3 linked regions of the Cricetulus griseus genome follow. The protein of the gene in region 1 purifies or fractionates together with the protein of each later gene. This does not show direct contact. Links are inferred from orthologs where the notes say so. Each region holds a gene or a part of one and is shown on either strand. Other genes may lie near its edges. The genes, in order: Casp8, Faslg and Nlrc4.

The links.
Region 2: the proteins of Casp8 (region 1) and Faslg purify together in Homo sapiens (co-immunoprecipitation; 8 studies listed by BioGRID and IntAct, with this or other methods). This does not show direct contact. The link is inferred for Cricetulus griseus from reciprocal best matches to the Homo sapiens genes CASP8 and FASLG.
Region 3: the proteins of Casp8 (region 1) and Nlrc4 purify together in Homo sapiens (affinity purification with western blotting; 3 studies listed by BioGRID and IntAct, with this or other methods). This does not show direct contact. The link is inferred for Cricetulus griseus from reciprocal best matches to the Homo sapiens genes CASP8 and NLRC4.

The regions. Positions count from the first base shown.
Region 1 is NC_048595.1:413,122,791-413,129,633, forward strand, and holds part of Casp8 (caspase-8), read left to right. Parts: intron 1-3,908; coding exon 3,909-4,017; intron 4,018-6,420; coding exon 6,421-6,559; intron 6,560-6,639; coding exon 6,640-6,690; intron 6,691-6,843. UniProt on the Homo sapiens protein: Thiol protease that plays a key role in programmed cell death by acting as a molecular switch for apoptosis, necroptosis and pyroptosis, and is required to prevent tissue damage during embryonic development and adulthood.
Region 2 is NC_048598.1:30,343,866-30,350,250, forward strand, and holds the end of Faslg (tumor necrosis factor ligand superfamily member 6), read left to right. Parts: intron 1-1,017; coding exon 1,018-1,074; intron 1,075-3,001; coding exon 3,002-3,396; 3' UTR 3,397-3,930; downstream 3,931-6,385. UniProt on the Homo sapiens protein: Cytokine that binds to TNFRSF6/FAS, a receptor that transduces the apoptotic signal into cells. Involved in cytotoxic T-cell-mediated apoptosis, natural killer cell-mediated apoptosis and in T-cell development.
Region 3 is NC_048600.1:9,235,888-9,242,730, forward strand, and holds part of Nlrc4 (NLR family CARD domain-containing protein 4), read left to right. Parts: intron 1-2,081; coding exon 2,082-2,342; intron 2,343-3,597; coding exon 3,598-5,592; intron 5,593-6,165; coding exon 6,166-6,258; intron 6,259-6,843.

The sequences.
Region 1 (6,843 bases):
TATTACCTAAGTAATCAGGAAATGCAGAGCAAACAACTTCAAAACTATAGAAATGACAGAAACAGCTGGCCTCCTGGAAAGTCACCCAAATTTCCCCTGCAGCATTGTAGCATCCATCTCCTAGAAATATATGATGGACTTTTTCTGTGAGGCAGGAATTTTGAAGAACTGTCCTACCTTGTTTTGGCAAAGTTTGGCAGTTGCCATCTTTTGTGGCCTGCTTGTCCAGTTTGGACAGCACGCTGTCAGCAGTCGAGTGAAGGGCAGCTTCTTGTCCAGTGACTAACTTTGTCACAAATGAAAGCACACTCCATATAGAGGTTCTTCAATGCCCATCATCTTCTCAGATGTAGATTGGTGCTGCCAGGAGCAAATGTATCTCACTGTTACGAAAAGCCTTATGTTATTAAAACAAATTAAATGTCATATTCAGTTGGTCTCTGAAGTGTTTGAAGATCAACTATCTGTCTAGAATATATCTCTGTATGACCTTGAAAACTTATCTCTAACATGACTACAAGTTTGGTTGTTATAGATGGCTAACTACTAACCTGTATTTCTTAATTATCCTAAATAGTTTATAATAATAGTTTTCAAAGACTAGAACTTTATATTACAGTTTTAAATGAGCTGCATAGGTACAATACCTTACACTATGTTGAAACAAAAATAACCTTAAATTTGTATCAATATACAAAAATACCTTAAACAAGAGTAGAAACATAGGAATATGTTATAACAAAATAACCTTAAATTTGTATCAATATACAAAAATACATACCAATGTAAAATATTTGAGATTAATAGTTCTTTTAGCTTAAAAGTAGATTTCAATAATCTACCCTTTTATCCTATTATTCCTATATCTCCCTTTTTCTTTTCAAAAAGATATCCCTGAATCTAACTTCCTTTGCTTAGTTTTTTTCCCTGACCACGACCCCTCTAAACAACAGCAAGCATCCACAACCCATCAAATGACTAAAAGCCACCCACCCCACCTCTAGGGAATGTGGGCATTGTGTTCTTAAGATTACTTCCTATTGTCTGGGGGTGACAGCATCTTTAGGGTACCCTGAGAAAATTGGCATAATGGTCAAGTCCTGGGAGAGCTAGCTGTTGTCCAGTCTGGGTATGATGAGAAAGTGCAGAGCTTATCTGAAATCCTGGCTGGAGTCATCTGTGAGGCTGTACCATCTCAGCTAGCAGCTTTGAAGTTGTTATGGATGCATATTTTTGAGGAAACTGTAACAGAGGCATTCTGAGAGGCTGGATCACCTGTGCTACTTACTTACCTTTATTTGTCTCTTGTCTTTTTTCTTCTGAAAACACACAAAGGTAGCATGCGTGAGCATGAGCTGCATAGGTACAATACCTTACACTATGTTGAAACAAAAATAACCTTAAATTTGTATCAATATACAAAAATACCTTAAACAAGAGTAGAAACATAGGAATATGTTATAACAAAATAACCTTAAATTTGTATCAATATACCTTACAAGTATGGAATATGTGGTGTGCACAAATCAGCTAAAGATGATTCTCTGTTCTATGCTTGATCATGTAAAAGACATCTGTTAACTTTGTAAGTTCCTTTGGACTACATAACCAAACAGTAACATAAATCTCCTTCCATGCCACATGAAAGGATGGCATGTGATAATAAGTCATAAGGGCTCTGTAGCTAAGATTTATAATGTCTCAGCCTATCTCAGAGCTGTTCCCATATAGAGGGACCAGCACATACATCATCTGTCTTGTAGATTTTCTTTGGTTTCCTCCTTTATGTCTGCAGTCAAGATTTTCAAGAGGCCTCCCTTGGTCAAATCTGAACTTTATTTTGAAGGAATCCATAACTTTTTATTTCATGTGGAAACAAAGGCACAACCTCTCCCCCAACACAACACATTTCCTGATTTCCATTCTGATGTTAAAGATCTCCTTAAAATATATAGACTGGTTTAATTCAGCAGTTTTCATAATCCAATGCTCTTAGCAGCTGTTGTTTTATTTTCCTTCATACAAACTTTTGAGTTTTTCTGACTTATTTTTTTCCAAACGTTTAAAGATTTACTTATTTTTATTTTTAATTACGTGTCTGTATTTGGGTATGTCTATGTGAGTACAGATGCCCTCAGGGGCTAGAAACCTTGGCTCTCCTGTAACTGGAGTTACAGCTGGTTGGGAGCTACCTGATTTGGATGCCAGAATTGAACTCTGGTCCTCTGCAAGAGTGTCGTGTGCTCCTAACTGCTGAGCTACATCTTCATCCCAAGTTTTGGTGACTTCTAAAACATCCTTTTGTTTATTTACTTGGCAAGTATTTTCCAAGGTCTTAAATGTGTTTATAAATAATCTTCTGTGGTGTTTTGAAAGAAAATGGCTCTAAAGGGAGTGGCACTATTAGGAGATGTGGCTTTGTTGGAATAAGTGTGGCCTTGTTGGAGGAAGTTAACTGTGATAGTGGGCTTTAAGGTCTGCTTTGCTCAAGCTACACACAGCGAGACAGTTCACCTCCTATTGCCTGTGGATCAGGATGCAGCACTCTCAGATCCTTCTCCAGCACCTTGTCTGCCTGCATGATCTCAGGTCGCATCATGATGGTCACAGACTAAACCTCTGAAACTGTGAGCCACCCCAATTAAATGTTTTCCTTTCTAAGAGTTGCCATGGTCGTCTTGCCTCTTCACAGCAATAGAAACCCTGAGGCAGCGTCTGTCACTTACTGAACTCTTAGTGTGCTGCCTAACTGTTTGGGCAATGATGTGTGTTGTTCATATGTGATGTTGGTCCTGGGAGATTATGCTACCTCACTAGTGGTGTCTTAGTGCTCTTAGTTTAAGAGCACATTGTGATGTTCACAAAATGAAGAAATCCGTTGATGAGGATCTCAGAATGTGCACCTGCCTTTAAGTGACATGTGACTGTAGTTCATGGAAACTTATGTAATTCACAGCTGTCTGTGGGGTAGATATGTATTTAGCTTCTATCTACAGATGAGCAAAGAATTGCGCAACACATCTAAAATTACAGAGTTCAAACATTGCATCTCACAAATATCAGGCTAATGGAAATGAAAAAGGCTTGGGCCAGGCTGTCAGGGGGCTTGGGTGGTTTTTTTGTTTGTTTGTTTCTGTTTTTTATGACAGGGCTTCTCAGTGTAGCCGTGGCTGTCCTGGAACTTGCTCTGCAGACCAGGCTGGCCTCGAACTCACAGGGGTCCACCTGCCTCTGCCTCTGGAGTGCACCACCACCACCACCTGGCATCTTGGGTGGTTTATAGACAGACTGTTGTAATATGTGAGTTGTCTTTCTGGGGGGAAAAATGAAGGTTCAGTGAGAGAACAGAGCCCCAAGCACTCTTGGGCAATGTGGTGTGATTGCAGGGGGCAGTGGACAAGGGAATGCAGGGTGGGGAGAACCCAGGGCGGTTGGTTGTGTTGAGAGCTTCAGGACCTTTGGTATTGCTGATTGGAACGGTGTGTGTGTGTGTGTATGTTCAGAGTACCTTGTATTCTAGAACCAAATGTTTAGCCTTCTTCCTGAAGGAAATAGCTTGGACATTGACCAGGATTCTTAGAAGGGAATCAGTTCTGATGTGCACTGTGGAGAACATGATTCCCCCAAATCATCTCCCCTGGATCTTGATTTTATAACAGCCTAAGAGCAGCATGATTGTTTTAGCTGAAGTTAGTTGGAAGACAAAGGTGATGGGACTTTGCTCAGAGTGGGCTGGTTGGCTTGACTCGGTAGATTTTCATCACTATCCAGCCTTTTCCTGAGGTTCACCAGTCAGGCATAGTTGGCTGTTTTAAGGAGGCCCTGGGAGTGGGGCCTGCGGTTAACTCTGTGCAGCGATGGGAATGATCTAGGGCGTGTTTCTAAAGTGTCTCCATTTCCTACCACAGGGTCATGCTCTTTAAGCTCTCAGAAGAAGTGACCAAGTCAGAATTGAAATCTTTTAAGTTTTTTTTGAATGAAGAGATTCCTAAATGTAAGCTGTATGATGATAACTCGGTAAGACCTGGTATGTCCTTGAGATGGGTCACCACTGGTGGATCTGAGATCAGAGGGGACTGTTCTGCCAACAACAAACTGTATTCAAGGTTGTTTCCACTTGTTTGTTTGTGCTTTCATTTGTTTGTTTGAGACATGGTATCATTAGCCCAGGTTGAACCCAAACCTGCAATATAGCCAAGGATGGCCTTAAACTTCTGGTCTTCCTGTCTTCACCTCTTGGGTGAGGGATTACTGGCATGTGGCACCACTCTCAGTTTCTGTGGTTCCAGGATGGAATTCAACAGCTTTTGCATGATAGGCAAGCACTCTACCAGCTGAGCTATACCTTAGTCCCCATGTTCTCACTTCTTACCTGGGGAAAGTAAAGTAGTGAGGCAGGGTAGTAGTTATTTATGGCTTTGATGCCTTGACACTGTAAAGTGCTACTACTCAGCCATGGGGCAGACCCAGGAGACAGAGTAGGCAAGTTGGGCAGTGCCACAATACATGGGACCAAGCAGGGCCAGGGAGGAAATGCAGCCTGGGGTCACATCTTCCTCACCTCTGCTGCTTTTGAAATGTCACGTTTGCTTGTTTGTTTGTTCCCCCAGTGTGTGGTATGTGTCTTTATGAGTAGGTTGTATGATGTATGTGTCTGTGTCTACATGCTGTGTATATTGTGTGTGTGCTTCTTTTTTCTTCTAATACATTATTTAATATCTTACTATGTTACCTCTCTCTAATATACTCAGTGCCTCAGTGACAATAATGTCATCCAGGCCCCCACAGGAACTACAGTGGGGAAATGAATACACAGTTTGCCTATAATAAGCCCACTCCAACTTCCCTTCTGTTTTTAGGTTTCCTTTTTATTAATTTTTTTACATTCCAATCCCAGTTCCCTCTCCTTCCTCTCCTCCCGGGCACCTCCCATCTGCTCCTCAGACAGGGTAAGGCCTCCCCTAGGAAGTCTACTAAGTCTGTCTCATCATCTCACTGAGGTGGGATCAAGGCACCACCTACCCGCTTCCCTGTGTCTAGGTTAAGCAAGGAATCTCTCCATATAGAACGGCTCTACTAAGTCAGTTTGTACATTAGAGTTAGATCTTGGATCACTGCCAGTGGCCTCATATACTGTCCCAGTCACACCATTGTCAGGGAGTCTAGTTCAGTCTTATGCAGGTTCCCCATTTGTCAGACCTGAATCAGTGATCTCTCACTAGCTCGGGTCAGCTGATTCTGTGGGTTTCCCCATCATGGTCTTGACTCCTTTGTTCATATTATAGCTCCTCCCTCACTCGAGGAGCTTGGCCCAATGGTTAGTTGTGGATTTCTGCATCTGCTTCCATCTGTTTCTGGAAGAGGGTTCTAGCTTCTCTGGCGTTGTGGATTGTAGGCTGGGTATCTTTTGCTTTATGTCTGGTATCCACTTATGAGTGAGTACACACTACATTTGTCTTTCTGGGTCTGGGTTACCTCACTCAGGATTATTTCATACCATTGAGTAGTACTCCATTGTGTAAATGTACCACCTTTTCTTTATCCATTCTTCAGTTGAGAGACATCTATGTTGTTTCCAAGATCTGGCTATTATGAATAAGGTTGCTATGAACGTGTGTGTGTGTGTTGTGTGTGTGTGTGTGTGTGTGTGTGTGTGTGTGTGTGTGTGTGTGTGTGTTTGTGTTTGTGTGTGCTTCTTATGTATATGTGTGGCATATGTACCTGTGTGTGTGGTGTATACCTCTGCGTCTCTGTTGGTCTGAGTCTACCTATGTGTAGTACATATGTGTATGGGTTTCTCCCCACCCCACCCCCCGGTGTGTGTGTGTGTGTGTGTGTGTGTGTGTGTGTGTGTGTGTGTGTGTGTGCTTTTGTGTGCTGTGTGGTGTATTGTAATTCTGATGTTTGCTTTGTCCAAGTGTATCTTTGTACATTTGTTTAGTGTGGGTGCATACGAGCGCACATGAACACGTGTGTACATGCTCATGGCCTCTCTGTGTGTGTTTGGTGCCCTGCACATGTCTCTCTCTCTGTATGTGCATTCGCTGAGGTTTAGAGGTGGATAAGGCAATGCCAGAGTATAATGCAGTCTCCAGGGCTGTTCTTCCCACACTCCTCCAGGCTGGTCCATAGATGAAGGCTTCCACAGATAGTTTGGGAACAAGGCCTGGGGACTGGTGACATCTGACATGGCTTCTCTTTTTTTTCTATGTTTTTATCCTTTTAGGCCAGAAAACACAGAATGGCCTTCCTGATTACTGTCAACTTTGAGGGATCAGTATGTGCTCAGGGGTGGGAGGGCGATCTCTGTGGGAAATAAGACTGGGCTCTTGCTTTGGAAGAAGTGGAATTAAGGAAACAAAAACCTAGTTCCCAGGCCTGAGCACTCAATCCATTTGTCCCTTGCTCTCTCCTCCCCAGAGCCTGCTTGATATTTTTGTGGAAATGGAGAAGAGAGTCATCCTGAGGGAAGAAAACTTGGATGCCCTGAAATCAATCTGTGCCCAGGTCAACAAGAGCCTGCTGGAGAAGATTGAGGCTTATGAAAAATCAAGCAGAGGTAGACAGCTGATGGTTATGAGGCGGCAAAGCCTCCAGAGCCACAGCTGTTTCTGATCTAGCTCTTCCTTTTGAATGCAGGGAGAATGAGCCTTGAAGGAGGGGCAGAGTCGCCAGTTTCAGTTTTAGATGGTAAGACTTCCAGATTCATTTCTTTGATGCCGAGGCACTTAATTCCCTCTTACTCTCTTCCCACCACCTTCTGCCATAGCCTAATATCAGGATGAAAGTTTGGTGGTCACTTGTCACCCCTGCGGCTCTCTGGGAGATAAAAAGAATTTGCAA
Region 2 (6,385 bases), on another chromosome or scaffold:
AAGGCTAAATGCTCTTGTTACTTAACTATATAGTAAAATGGCATTAGGGAAAGACTTGGTAGCCAGGATCCCAAAGTCCAGCAATGTTAGTACTAGTTTAGATCATAAAGTGATTATTCCAGAGAGCTGCTATTTTCCTGGACAAGAAGGAAGTAAAGGCAGTTTTTATAGTTGCCCTAGGAGGGAGGAGCCATAACTATCAAGAGAGGCAAAGACAGAAGGGTCTTAGGCTTTGAAGGGTGAAGGGCCATATTTGACAAAAAGTGTGGAAGGGTTTCCCAAAGGAAGAGGAGTGTAAGATGGTCACTAGATAATTGACAGGAATTTAACTCAGAGATCTCATTTGGAGGGCGTTCTGGACAGAATGAGCAAAAGCCCAGGAGCAGGGAAGAAGGGGGCATAATCAGTTCATAGAACCCATGCTGTGTGCAAGTGTTTGATGGGATGGAATAGAGGGAGTAAGACTGATACCATGTAGAGGAACTCTGGCTAAGGCTACATGATGGAGTAAAATTGTGGACAACCTCGTGATAGATGAGGAGGTCTTAATATTATCACCTTGGAAATAGATTGTAGATTGGTGCCCAGGAGATGAATCAGTAGTCTACAGGTCAGCAGAATCAGGGTGTACAGACCAGGGATTTACAGTCAGCCCAAGGTGCCCATTGCATCCACCGTTAAAGTCAGTCAGTTACTAATGTCTTATTGCCAGTTATAATTGGGACAATAAAGGGGTCAAGGCAAGTTCTAAATGGAGTAAATGAAATGGCTATTTTATCATAATATAATTTATGTATTCATCTGTATTTACCTGTCTTGTCTTTTTAAACTGTTTTTGAATTACAGACTCTCATGAGTCCCACAGTTTAGAATTTCTTGATAAGTCTGTACTAGAATATTTCCCCCTATGCTCTGAAAATCACATATTTAAATAGTGGGATTTAGAGTCCCAATCAAGATAGTGGTTGGCACCCATCATCATAATTTTCACATGTCTTTTGTCTCTCTATGATGCAGACCACCCCGGTCAACCCTCTGAAAAAGAAGAGCCGAGGTGTGTGGCCCATTTAACAGGTTTGTGTCTGGAAGGACTGGGTGAGGACAGAAAGTCTGGAAAACTGTGGACCAAATGCTCAATTTCCATTGTAGGCTCTTAGAAAGTATTATTGACAATTGTATTTACCACTCAAGACCATTCATATCTCTGGGATCTCATGAGCCTAATCTGACAATTCTAATGCTGTAGACTTGTGTATGGCTTGATCTTGGCCATAAAATGTGCACTCTTGAGGATGGAGCTCACCTTAAAGCTCTAAGCTCTGGACAGATGATAGAGAAAACGGGTGTCACACAGATGTGAAGGGAGATGAGAACAACAGCTGCAGCCAATTTCAAAGCATAGACAGTAACGAGGATGTGCATAAAACTGTTGACAGAGGATAGAAACTTCCTGTTGTATTTCCTTTAAGATGGGAAATGATCATTTTTAACCATGCAGGTTTTGCAAGAGCGTGAGCACGAGCACACACACATGTGCAAACACCTGTCTGGGCTAGATAAATTGGACCCTGAGGATATTGTCCTTTGGCTCTGGAGCTTACAAACTCTGACTAAGTGCACGTCTCTCCTGTAGATAATGGCCAGCTGGAGAGGGTGGCTTCAGGGTAGAGTGGTCATAATTCCTGTTTGAAGTGTGAAGAATTCTGATTTCCCCCTTGCCTCGACCTCTTGGTGACCTCTGTTAAGGACATGTCAGGTTGGCACAGGAGCCCCAGCCATCATTTCCTGAGAGGAGGAGATGGCTGCCTTGATTGAAGGGAGTGTGACATCAACACTGGCAAAGGTGGTGTGTATTTGTCACACCTCAGAAGTGGGCATTGCTGGTGCTTCCTGGGAGGGATGTGACAGTCACAGGCACAGGGCTATTAATGGAATCTGCCTAAGTTTTCCCTTGCCTCTCAATGGGGTGAGGCTCAGCTGCTATGGTCTGTCATTCTAGCTGGCCTCAAGGGCTAAAGTACACATGGGAAAATGTAAGGGCACATGTGACATATGTGTTATATTTGATGTAACCACAGCATGAGGAATTGCAAAGGGAAGGAAGGGAGTCTACTAGGCTGACAGTCCTGTGGCAGAAACAAAGAACAGTTATCCCAACTCTTAAGGAAGCCCTCTGTCCATTAGATAAACCAAGAGAGATTATTTATAAAACAAAAAGTGCACTCTTTTCAACCATGCCAAAATCCACAAGGGGACTTGTGACATAAGTCCAAGAGGAGCAGCCAAGGGTGAGTGATGCACTGTTTTGAATAAGAAGAGATTGTTCTGGCATTTGTGGGTTTTCAGCCTATGATTATAAAGTAAATAAGTGTTTTAGTATAATATGGCATGGGCAACTCCATTAGAAATATAAACATTAAAAATGTAGTTATATATCACAAGAAGAGGTGTACCATACCTCCTGTCATCACTTGGAGGCTGTAGAAAAATTCATCTGGGTCCACAAACACTTATTGAGTACTTGCTGTGTGTAGGTACATAATGCTGTGTGAACAAAATGGAAGGGGATTAGCCCAAAATAAGAGGCCAAGGAATCCAAACTAAACAAGGAAGTGGACCACATAACCATGAGATTTTGTCCAGATGTAGAACTCTGGAGATCATTCTCTTTATGGAGGGATGCCCAAGCTCAGCGGTGTTGGTACTAGTTTAGATCATAAAATGTTTGTTCCAGAGAACTGAAATTATCCTAATAGTCTTCCCTGAGATCAATCAGAGACACACACTAAATTTGTCCCAATCACATGGATGATTAAATTAGGGTGGACAATTTGACAAAGGTGTTGAAGAAACTCTGGGGTGGACCATGCTTTGACCCCTGATTGGCTGTCCTTCTGGATAGAGCTTTTGTTAAGGAAGGGCCCAGAGTTTTCCCTTGGAATCTTAGCCCATCAGATGTGGGAGACCTTCTGGCTGAAAGTTCTTCTCTGGTTTATTTCAGGCAACCCCAGCTCAAGGTCTGTCCTTCTGGAGTGGGAAGACACATATGGAACTGCTCTGATCTCTGGAGTGAAGTATAAGAAAGGTGGCCTTGTGATCAATGTCCCTGGCTTGTACTTTGTATATTCCAAAGTATACTTCCGGGGTCATTCTTGCACCAATCAGCCCTTAAGTCACAAGGTCTACATGAGGAACTCTAAGTATCTTGGGGATCTGGTGTTAATGGAGGAGAAGAAGTTGAACTACTGCACTCCTGGCCAGATGTGGGCCCACAGCAGCTATCTGGGGGCAGTATTCAATCTTACCAGTGCTGACCATTTATACGTCAACATCTCTCAACTCTCTCTGATTAATTTTGACGAATCTAAGACATTTTTTGGCTTATATAAGCTTTAACAGAAAAAGCACTTTAGAATTATCCATTATTCCGTTTTATGGGTACTGGGAATATTGTCTTGAATGAGTGTCTTTTTAAGACCAATTGAGATTAATCAAGACAAAATGAGCCACAAAGACCTCATGATCACAAGGTTCAACAGGTCAACTTTCCTTCATTTCCCAGAGTGGTCCTTAATGCCTCCATCGTGAGCTAGATGGAAGGAGAACTGTGGCCAAGGAACATAAAGCTTTGGGCTGCCATGTGATGATGCAGAGGCACAGAGAAGGAACTGTCTGATGCTAAAAATGGCCAAGAGCATTTTAGCCATTGAAGAGGACACTTTTAAACTCACCTTTCAGGGTGGGTCTACTTGCTACCTCAGAGGAGGCCATCTTTCAGACACATGGTTATGATCTGAATATACAAGGCATGGGAAAAGGGGGCCAGGTTTGACTGATAAGCTAGAGACTGAAAGAGGCCAATGTCTCATTGGCATCATCTTTACTTTTAACGGGTGTTTTCTGAGCCAACCTTTGATGCTAACAGAGAACTAAGAGGGATGTTTGAAGCACAGATCATTCCTTACACAGCATGTGTATCTCCAGTGCAATGGCATGTGTGTCTCCAGTGCAATGGCATGTGTGTCTCCAGTGCAATGGTGTCTGTGTGTGTTTGTATGTATGAGAGAGCAGACAGACAGATTCTAGAGAGTCATATAAATAGAATGTGTGCATTACAAAGTACATATTAGAAACATATGTGTTACATTTGGTGGTGGATATCTGAATGTTTCTTGGCAATAAACTCTAATAGTCTTCAAAATTTTTTTATTACCAGCTACTTATGCTGTTTTCCTTTAATAGAACTAGTATATATATATATATATATTTTGTGAATCTTAGTGAAAAAAGACAAATAAAAATTGTATTGCAGAATATAGAAAAGTATTAAGGATATAGTGTTTGGAAATCAGCGAGATGTGCTTATTGTTTCTTTTCTCCATGGTTTCTTCATTCATAATGGCTTTGGAGCATTCTGAGAAAGATTTACAAAGGTGAGTAGAGCTGTGTGGCAAATTCTTCCATCTTCATCAGTTTCTTGTCTTTTCTCTCTATCTGCTCTCCTCTGGACCTCACATTACCCTGAGTTTTGTTTACCACCATTATGGCCAACATTAAGCTGACCCAAATTTCCACATATTTGATGGCAACTCATCTTCTCTGGGGTTAGAGTCATGGCAAAGTAGAAAAGATACATGCTTTGTAGTAGAAAAAAAGAAGCCTGGAGTTGATCTTTGTTCTTGTTCTTAGCTCACTTTGCAGTCTGGTAGATCACTTGCCCTCTGATGTGCAGAAAAGAATTGATATATGTGTAATATATGTGCAGCCTCTTTAATATGTATGTGTAATAGATTATCCAAGGGGGGTTTGAAGCCACAGATAGGAGGAAAAGTTAAAAAGAAAACTGAAACACACCTCAACCCCTAACACTGTAAACAAGAAAGATATTATTAGTTACCTGACATTTCCAGAAATAAAATATGGGAGGAAGAAGGGAAAGTGCCAAGTCAACAGAACCCAAGCTGTTATTCAAAAGAGTTGGTAAATGTTTCCTGAATAAACTGAGGGACAAAATCAAAATCTCAGGTTGGAAAGTATCAACTTTTATCTTCAGGCTCTTCTATCTGACATCTGCTTTGGGTGGGTGGGTTACTTCAAGGAGAATGTCTGGGAGGTATTTGGTCTTTTGGTTGTAGATTTGCCTTTCTAGTCATTGTGATGAAATCCCCTTCATCTTTTTCCTTATATTTTGGCCTTCAGTCATCAAAGATGCTTGTTGCAAGGATCATGGAACATTTTCTGGATATTTTTATTCTCTTTGTCAATGAGCATTTCTAGACAATCATACTAGAGCAAAGAAGTAAGTATGGAGGCACAGGCATCTTGAGAATTGGTGGATGTTATAATGTAACAGTCAAGCTGCTCTGGTATCCATCTCTCGAGGGTCCCTTTGGGGTTATATTAATAGATCACTACACTTTAAGTATTCTGATTCTTGGCCTTTTGGTGAAGATCAAGTATAGTATTAGTTCCAGTAAAAAGATGCTAACAATACCTTTAAAAACCTTGAATTTTTTTCTCTAATTTAAAACACAAGTAATATTAAAACCAAAACACTTTTGAAGGTATTCATTGAAAATGGGATCTCCCATTGTTTCTTAACGAAAGATGATTAAAGACAAAGTTCAACACAGATCTACATAGAAAAGTCACTTCTAGTTCAATGGTTTGAGGTTTTCTTTTCTAACATCTAACAGCACACAACACCCATTCTTTTCTTAGCCCCTCAGACTGGTGGCTTTGTGTTCTCTGAAGTAGGTTTTGACTTACCACAGCTTAACAGGAAAGAGCTTTCCTGTGGCCATCATCAGAAGAGTATCTATTCTGAGGCACTTTCAGAAGAAGGAAATAGAGGGGGAAGCCTAGCCCCCTCAAAACCAAAGTAGATGCTTGCCTTTGTGGGCTAAGGCTTAGATATTTCCTAGTCCTAATCAAAAGAAGGGGAGAGGCCATGTGTGAAATTATATATATTTAAAGGTACCTGAGTAGAAGTTCTACCTTAGGGGCTCTTTTTCTTACCTAATGTGATAGGTCACAAGTGACCTAGAAAACAAGAGGCAGGACACATGATTTAGGGTATTTGTACTCAGCAATGAGCCCAGCTAGAAGTGGTGCAGCCTTTGGTAGTGCCAGGGACCTTTAGAGTTCACCTGGAACCCCACCAGACTTGGCCATGTAGGTGGCTAAGCAGGCATCTTGTTTCTTACAGTTCACATAGGAGACAGCAGAGTCTTCTCAATGCTGACCTCTGATGGGGGATGTCCTTCTGTATATATGTTTCTCTTATTGGTTGATGAATAAAACACTGTTTGGCCAATAGAGGCAGGAAGATAGGCGGGACTAGGAGATGAGGAGAATTTTGGGAAAGGTAGGCAGAGAGATGCCA
Region 3 (6,843 bases), on another chromosome or scaffold:
AACCAAACCCCCAAACAGATTAAGATATTGCAGAGGCACACACACACACACACACACACACACACACACACACACACACACACACACGATGAGGCCTTCTTAGAGACTGGGAGAAGTGAGAGAGCTTAGACTGGATACTGTCTAATACTTTGTAGTGATCATTTTTGGAAAAGACTAAAACTTGTGAAACATAAAACACCTATTTCTTTGAGTTGTGACAGGAAAGTGAGAACTGAGCATGTTGGCATATTACTTTGTGTGTGATGACAGACATGAATTCTCCTAACAACTACCCAGGGTATACAGACTATGTGCTATAGAAGGGTTTGGTGAACTGTTGACTTTTCAGATTTTTGTTTCCCAGTCAACATATGGCTATCTTGAAATTGGCCATGGTGAAAATATCGAATCCCTTCCTGGGCTCAGTAAATGCTATGAAAGGGATATTCTGTCACCAGAGATCCTGGCTGTTACATAGTTGGCAGTATTTCAGATTCAAAAGAGAGTTGCCAAAGGTTACAGATGCTAGCAAGTGGCAGATCCTATGCTGTTACAGTAATGTTACCTACCTGGGGGAAGTGTAAGCAAACACCTAGTCACCCCAGGTAGAGCCTCAGATAAGAGACTAAAGCAACCATTCCACCTATCTAGTTTGTTGAATCAGTAGGTTTGTTGGTCTTGCTTATTGGAGCCCAGGTAAAGGGTAACCACAAATACACACATCCCCACAAGGCCCTATATCAAGCATGGATGATGACTAGCTGTGTATGCATACGTAGAGTCCCTCCTCCAGCTGTCGTGACCCAGAATGTCTCAGCCTTAGTCCATGGGGTTCTACCTGAGTGGGGGTGTGTGGACCTGGAAGGTTCGAGGAACCCAATGGCGATAAAGACCAAACACAGGCATCTTGTCATCTTCAGAGAGCTCTCAGTTCCACGTTGTGGAACTAGAGTCATTTCTTTATTGGCCATCTTTTCTGGTGTCTCTTAACCATCCTGCTAATACTACAAGGCAACCATTTCTCTCTTTGTTCTCCTCTCGCCGCCAGAGCCTGGGACCCAATATTCGGTCCCCCACATCCAGCTAACCTTGCACCCTCTATTCTAGCACCTCCCACGTCAGGTTGAAGTTGAGGCAGGATGGCTGGGAGGGAGACATAGAGGAGAAAAGCTGGGAACTCAGTCGAGGGCCTAATGCTCCCTTTAACTCCTCCTCCTAAGGAAGAATGTCGACAGGTACAATATTGTGAGGGTCTCTTGCTCTGATTAAGATGGTAATGGCTCTTGGGCCCATGTTTTCACTACTGTGACTTCACTGGAGATTTTCTCCTCCCCCACTTTTGGAGACAGGGTCTCACTATGTGGCCCTGGCTGTGCTGAAATTCACTCTGTAGACCAGACTAGCCTCAAACTCACAGAGATCTGCCTGCCTCTGCCTCCTGAATGCTGGGATTAAAGGTGTGCACCACCACACCTGGTGCTCACTAGAGAGACTCTTGTATCAGTGGACAAATCACCCACCTAACTTCATCACCTTAAACTGCCTTGCTCACTGAGCAAAGTTAGGGCTGCAGAGTTTTGCAGAGCACTTTTGTTTTTGTTGTTTGTTTTATGAGATGAGGTTTCTCTGTGTAAATGCCCTGGCTGTCTGGAAACTCACTCTGTATATCAGACTGGCCTCAAACTCAAAGAGATCCCCCTGCCTCTGCCTCCCAAGTACTGAGATTAAAGGTGTGCAAACCACCTCCTGGCTTGCAGAGCACTTTCTTGAGGACCTGAATGTCAAGCATCTGGTGTCTCAATAATTCAAGATGGGCCTAAGGAAAACAAATGCAGTCTGATGCGCTGGTGACAGATACATGTATTTCTTGTTGGCTAAAATAAAAAAAATGGCCGGGCAGTGGTGGCACACACCTTTAATCCTACCACTCGGGAGGCAGAGGCAGGCAGATCTCTGTGAGTTTAAGACCAGCCTGGTCTACTGGAGCTAGTTCCAGGACAGCCTCCAAAGCCACAGAGAAACCCTGTCTCGAAAAACCTAAATAATAAATAATAAACAAATGTTTCCCTGTGTCTCCTCAGTGAACTTCATAAAGGAAAACAGTCAAGCTCTTATTCAAAGGATGGGCATCACAGTTATCAAGCAAATCACAGATGAGCTTTTTGCATGGAATGTTCTCAACTATGAAGAAAAGGCCAACATTTGCTGTGAGAAGGTGGAACAGGATGCTGCACGAGCGATCATTCATATGATTCTGAAGAAGGGCTCAGAGGCCTGTAACCTCTTTCTTAAGTGTCTTGAGAAGTGTGACTATACTATGTATCAGGACTTAACTGGACAAAGTAAGTATTGCTTTGCTCACCTCTGTCCCACCATTAAGAACACAAACCATTCAGAATACCTACAGTCCCTTCTGTGGAATTTCAGCTTGTCCTCTACCCTTGTGTGGCTGGCCAGGGACTTTGAGTCATTTACAGTAGACACTTGACAGTGAAGCTTATATAAGTAATCTCAGAGCTGGGCAAGAAATGAGTTAAGTATAGTCACACTTCAAAGTACAACTGGAATTCTGGGTGTGCGTAATTGGCTACCCTGGGCTCTTTGGGGAGACTGAGGCAGGTGGATTGGGAGATTGAAGCCAGCCTGGGATGGAAATATATAAAGACTCTGTCAAAAAAAATGTTTAGCTAGAACACAAATAGATGAAGCCAGCAATCCTTAGTCATCTGTGGGTGAGTGGTCCTGCCGACTGTCTATCTCATGTTGCAGTGTCTTGGAAAAGTGACCACTCTACTTTCCAAGCAGCAGTAATTTCATCATCATCAAGCTATACCTCCAACTCCTCATTTTAATTAAGTGACTAAATTGCGTAATTGGTTGAATTTTACTCCATCACACATTCTGAGGGAAATCTTTCACTTTCCTTAACTAAGATGATGGCTCCTCTCATTTCCAATCTGCTGCTGTAAGATTTGATTGTGAGAAAAAAGAAATGGAATGTAGAGAAGAGGGAATGAGTGGAAAGGCCAAGGGAAATCGATGGGAATTTGGAGCCTGTGTGGTATCTAAGAACTAGGAAGAAAGTCAAAGTCACCCCCAGCTGCCATTCTCGGCAACTCTGCTGTTCATCCCCCTGAGCCCTGGGCTTCAGAGATGTCTTGATTAGGGTTTCTATTATTTGACAAAACACCATGACCAAAGAGCATGTTGGGGAGGAGATGGTTTATTTGGCTTATGCTTCCATATCACTGTTCATTACTGAAAGAAGTCAGGACAGGATCCAGGAGGTAAGACCTGACAGAGAGGCTATAGAGGAGTGCTGTTCACTGACTTGCTTCCCCCTGCCTTGCTCAGTCTGCTTTCTTATAGAACCCAGGACCAACAGCCCAGGGATGGCCCTACTCACCATAAGCTGGGCCCTCCCCCATTGATCACTAAATAAGCAAATGCCTTACAGCTGGATCTCATAGAGGCATTTCCTCAGCAGAGGCTCCTTCCTCTCTGAAGACTCTAGTTTGTGTCAACTTGACACAAAACCAGCCACTGCAGAGGCAATGCAGAGTCAAGTCCTCTGTAACAGCATCTCTTCTCTAACAGGTATTTTTCATCAGAACACAGAAGAAGACTTGGATGTCTTGGCTCAGAATTTAAAATACTTATACAACAGCCCCACATTTCTGAACTTCTATCCCCTGGGTAAAGATATTGACATCATTTTCAATCTGAAGATCACCTTCACAGAACCCGTCCTATGGAGGAAGGACCATCGTTATCATCGCATGGAGCAGCTAACCCTGGGCAGTCTGTTGGAGGCTCTTGAGAGCCCCTGCCTCATTGAAGGGGAGTCTGGCAAAGGGAAGTCCACCCTGCTGCAGAGAATTGCCATGCTCTGGGCCTCTGGGGAGTGCAAGGCTCTGAACAGGTTCAAATTGGTCTTCTTTGTCCGCCTGAGCAGTGCAGAGCATGGACTGTTTGAAACAGTGTGTGATCAGCTCCTGAATGTACCCGACTCCACTAGCAAGCAAGGGTTCATGGCTATGCTGCTGAAACTGCAGCAGGAAGTCCTCTTTCTTCTCGATGGTTACAATGAATTCCAGCCCCAGAACTGCCCAGAAATCGAAGACCTGATAAAGCAAAACCATCGTTTCAAGAACATGGTCATTGTCACGACCACCACAGAGTGCCTGAGACATATCAGACATGTTGGCGCCCTGACTGCGGAGGTGGGGGATATGACAGAAGACAGCGCCCAGGTGCTCATCCGACAAGTGCTGATAAAGGAGCTGGCTGAAGGCCTGCTCTCCCAGATCCAGGTGTCCAAGTGCTTGAGGAATCTGATGAAGACCCCTCTCTTCGTGGTGATCACCTGTGCAATCCAGATGGGCAGGAAGGAATTCAAAGATCACACACAAACCACATTGTTCCGAACCCTCTACGACCTCCTGATAAAGAAAAACAAGCACAGACACAGAGGCGGGGCTGACAGTGATTTTCTCAGGAGCCTAGACCGCTGTGGAGACCTGGCCCTGGAGGGCATGTTCTCCCACAGGTTTGCTTTTGAACCCGAGGACCTGTCCAGCATGAATGAGGATGTCCTGGTGACAACTGGGCTCCTCTGTAAGTACACAGCTCAGAGGCTGACACCCAAGTATAAATTCTTTCATAAATCCTTCCAGGAGTACACAGCGGGACGAAGACTTAGCAGTTTGTTGATTTCCAGAGAACCAGAGGAGGTAAGCAAGGGGAATGACTACTTGAAGAAAATGGTTTCCATCTCAGACATCACATCCCTGTATGGCAATCTGCTCCTGTACACATGTGGTTCATCCCCAGAGGCGACCAGGGCTGTCATGAGGCACCTTGCATTGGTGCATGAGCATGGCAGCTTACAAGGGCTTTCTGTCACCAAGAGACCACTCTGGAGGCAAGAATCTGTACAGAGCATGAGAAACACCACTGAGCAAGATGATCTGAAAGCCATCAACACAAACTCTTTTGTAGAGTGTGGCATCAACCTGTTCTTGGAGAGCATATCTGAATCAGCCCTGAGTCAAGAATTTGAAGCTTTCTTTAGTGGTAAAAGTTTACACATAGACTCAGAGAACATCCCCGATTACTTATTTGACTTCTTTGAACACTTGCCTAATTGTGTAAGCGCACTGGACTTTGTCAAGCTGATCTTCCATGGGAGAGCCACTGCTTCACAGGACAAAGCTGCAGAGAACAGTCCTGGAGTCCACATGGAAGGCCCCTCTGAAACCTACATTCCCAGCAGGGCTGTGTCTTTGTTCTTCAATTGGAAGCAGGAATTCAAGACTCTAGATGTCACACTCCGGAATATCAGCAAGCTGGATAAACAAGATATCAAATATCTGGGGAAGATATTCAGCTCCGCCACAAACCTCCGGCTGCACATCAAGAGATGCGTGGCTGTGACTGGAAGCCTCAGCTCAGTCCTCAGGACCTGTAAGAACATCCATTCCCTCACGGTGGAAGCCAGTCCCCTCACCATAGATGATGAACAGCACGTCACGTCCGTTACAAACCTCCAGAACTTGAGCATTCACAACCTGCACACCCAACGGCTGCCAGGTACCAGTGTGTCCGAAGTGTGCAATCATGACTGGATGGTGCTCTGCACCTGCTAGATGGCACAGAGGCTTCTAGAACCAGTTCTAATGCTTTTTGCCTCCTGGGTGCATCCCTGAGTCTGGCTTACCTTCTCTGTATTTCCTCTGTCCTTCATTTCAGCTGCCTTGAGCCTCCCTGTGGTTCCTGCCTCCAACTGCAATCTGAAAGTGTTCAGGTGCCAAAGATTTACTTATTTTATGTCTCCTCTCCCCTCCCCTGCCCTCCCCTTCCCTACTCTCCTCTCTTCTCCCCTGCCCTCCCCTGCTTCAGCCTTCCAAGTGCTGGGATTATAGGCATGTACACCACATCCTGCTACGTTTTATTTTTCTGTTTAATTCCATTATATTTGAACAGCATGTTTATAGATGAGCCCACCACCATTTCTGACAAAATATCTACACTTATGTGAATATCGTGAGCACTTGGTGCCCTTTATGATAACTAAAACATTCCCATTGGTAATAGGAATGTCAGTGACAGTAAACAATGACAGCACCAGAGAGGGACACATGCTGTTCTGTTTTCTTTTGGCAGGTGGTCTGACTGACAGCTTGGGTAATCTGAAGAACCTCATGAAGCTTGTACTGGAAAACATTAGGATGAATGAGAAAGATGCTAAAAACCTAGGTGAGATTTTTGTTTCTTTAATATTCTTTGCTTAATTATTTATTTTTTAATTTTATGTACATTGATGTTTTGCCTGTGTGTATGTGTGAGGGTGTCAGGTGCCCTAAAATTGGAGTTACAGACAGTTGTGAGATGCCATGTGGGTGCTGGGAATTGAACCTGGATCCTCTGGAAGAAGTGTCAGTGCTTTTAACTGCTGAGCCATATCTCTAGTCCCTTCTTAATATTGTTATTGGTGTTGGTATGATGATAAGAATGGTTAGTTTAAGATTATTTGGCGCTGGCTGCATTTGTTGAAGGCAAGATCCTTATGTGTGTATGTGGGGGGGGCATCTGCATGGCATGTGTGGTGGTTTGAATAAGAACATCCCCCATAGGCTCATATGTTTGAATGCTTAGTCACCAGGGAGTGGAACTCTTTGAAAGGATTAGAAGGATCGGGAAGTGTGGCTTTGTTGGAGGAGGTATGTCACTGGGGGTAGGCTTTGAGGTTTCAAAAGCTCATGGCAGGCCCAGTCTTTCTCTCCCTGCTGCCTGTGGATCACAATGGAGAACTCTCAGCTCCTTCTCCAGCACAATGTCTGC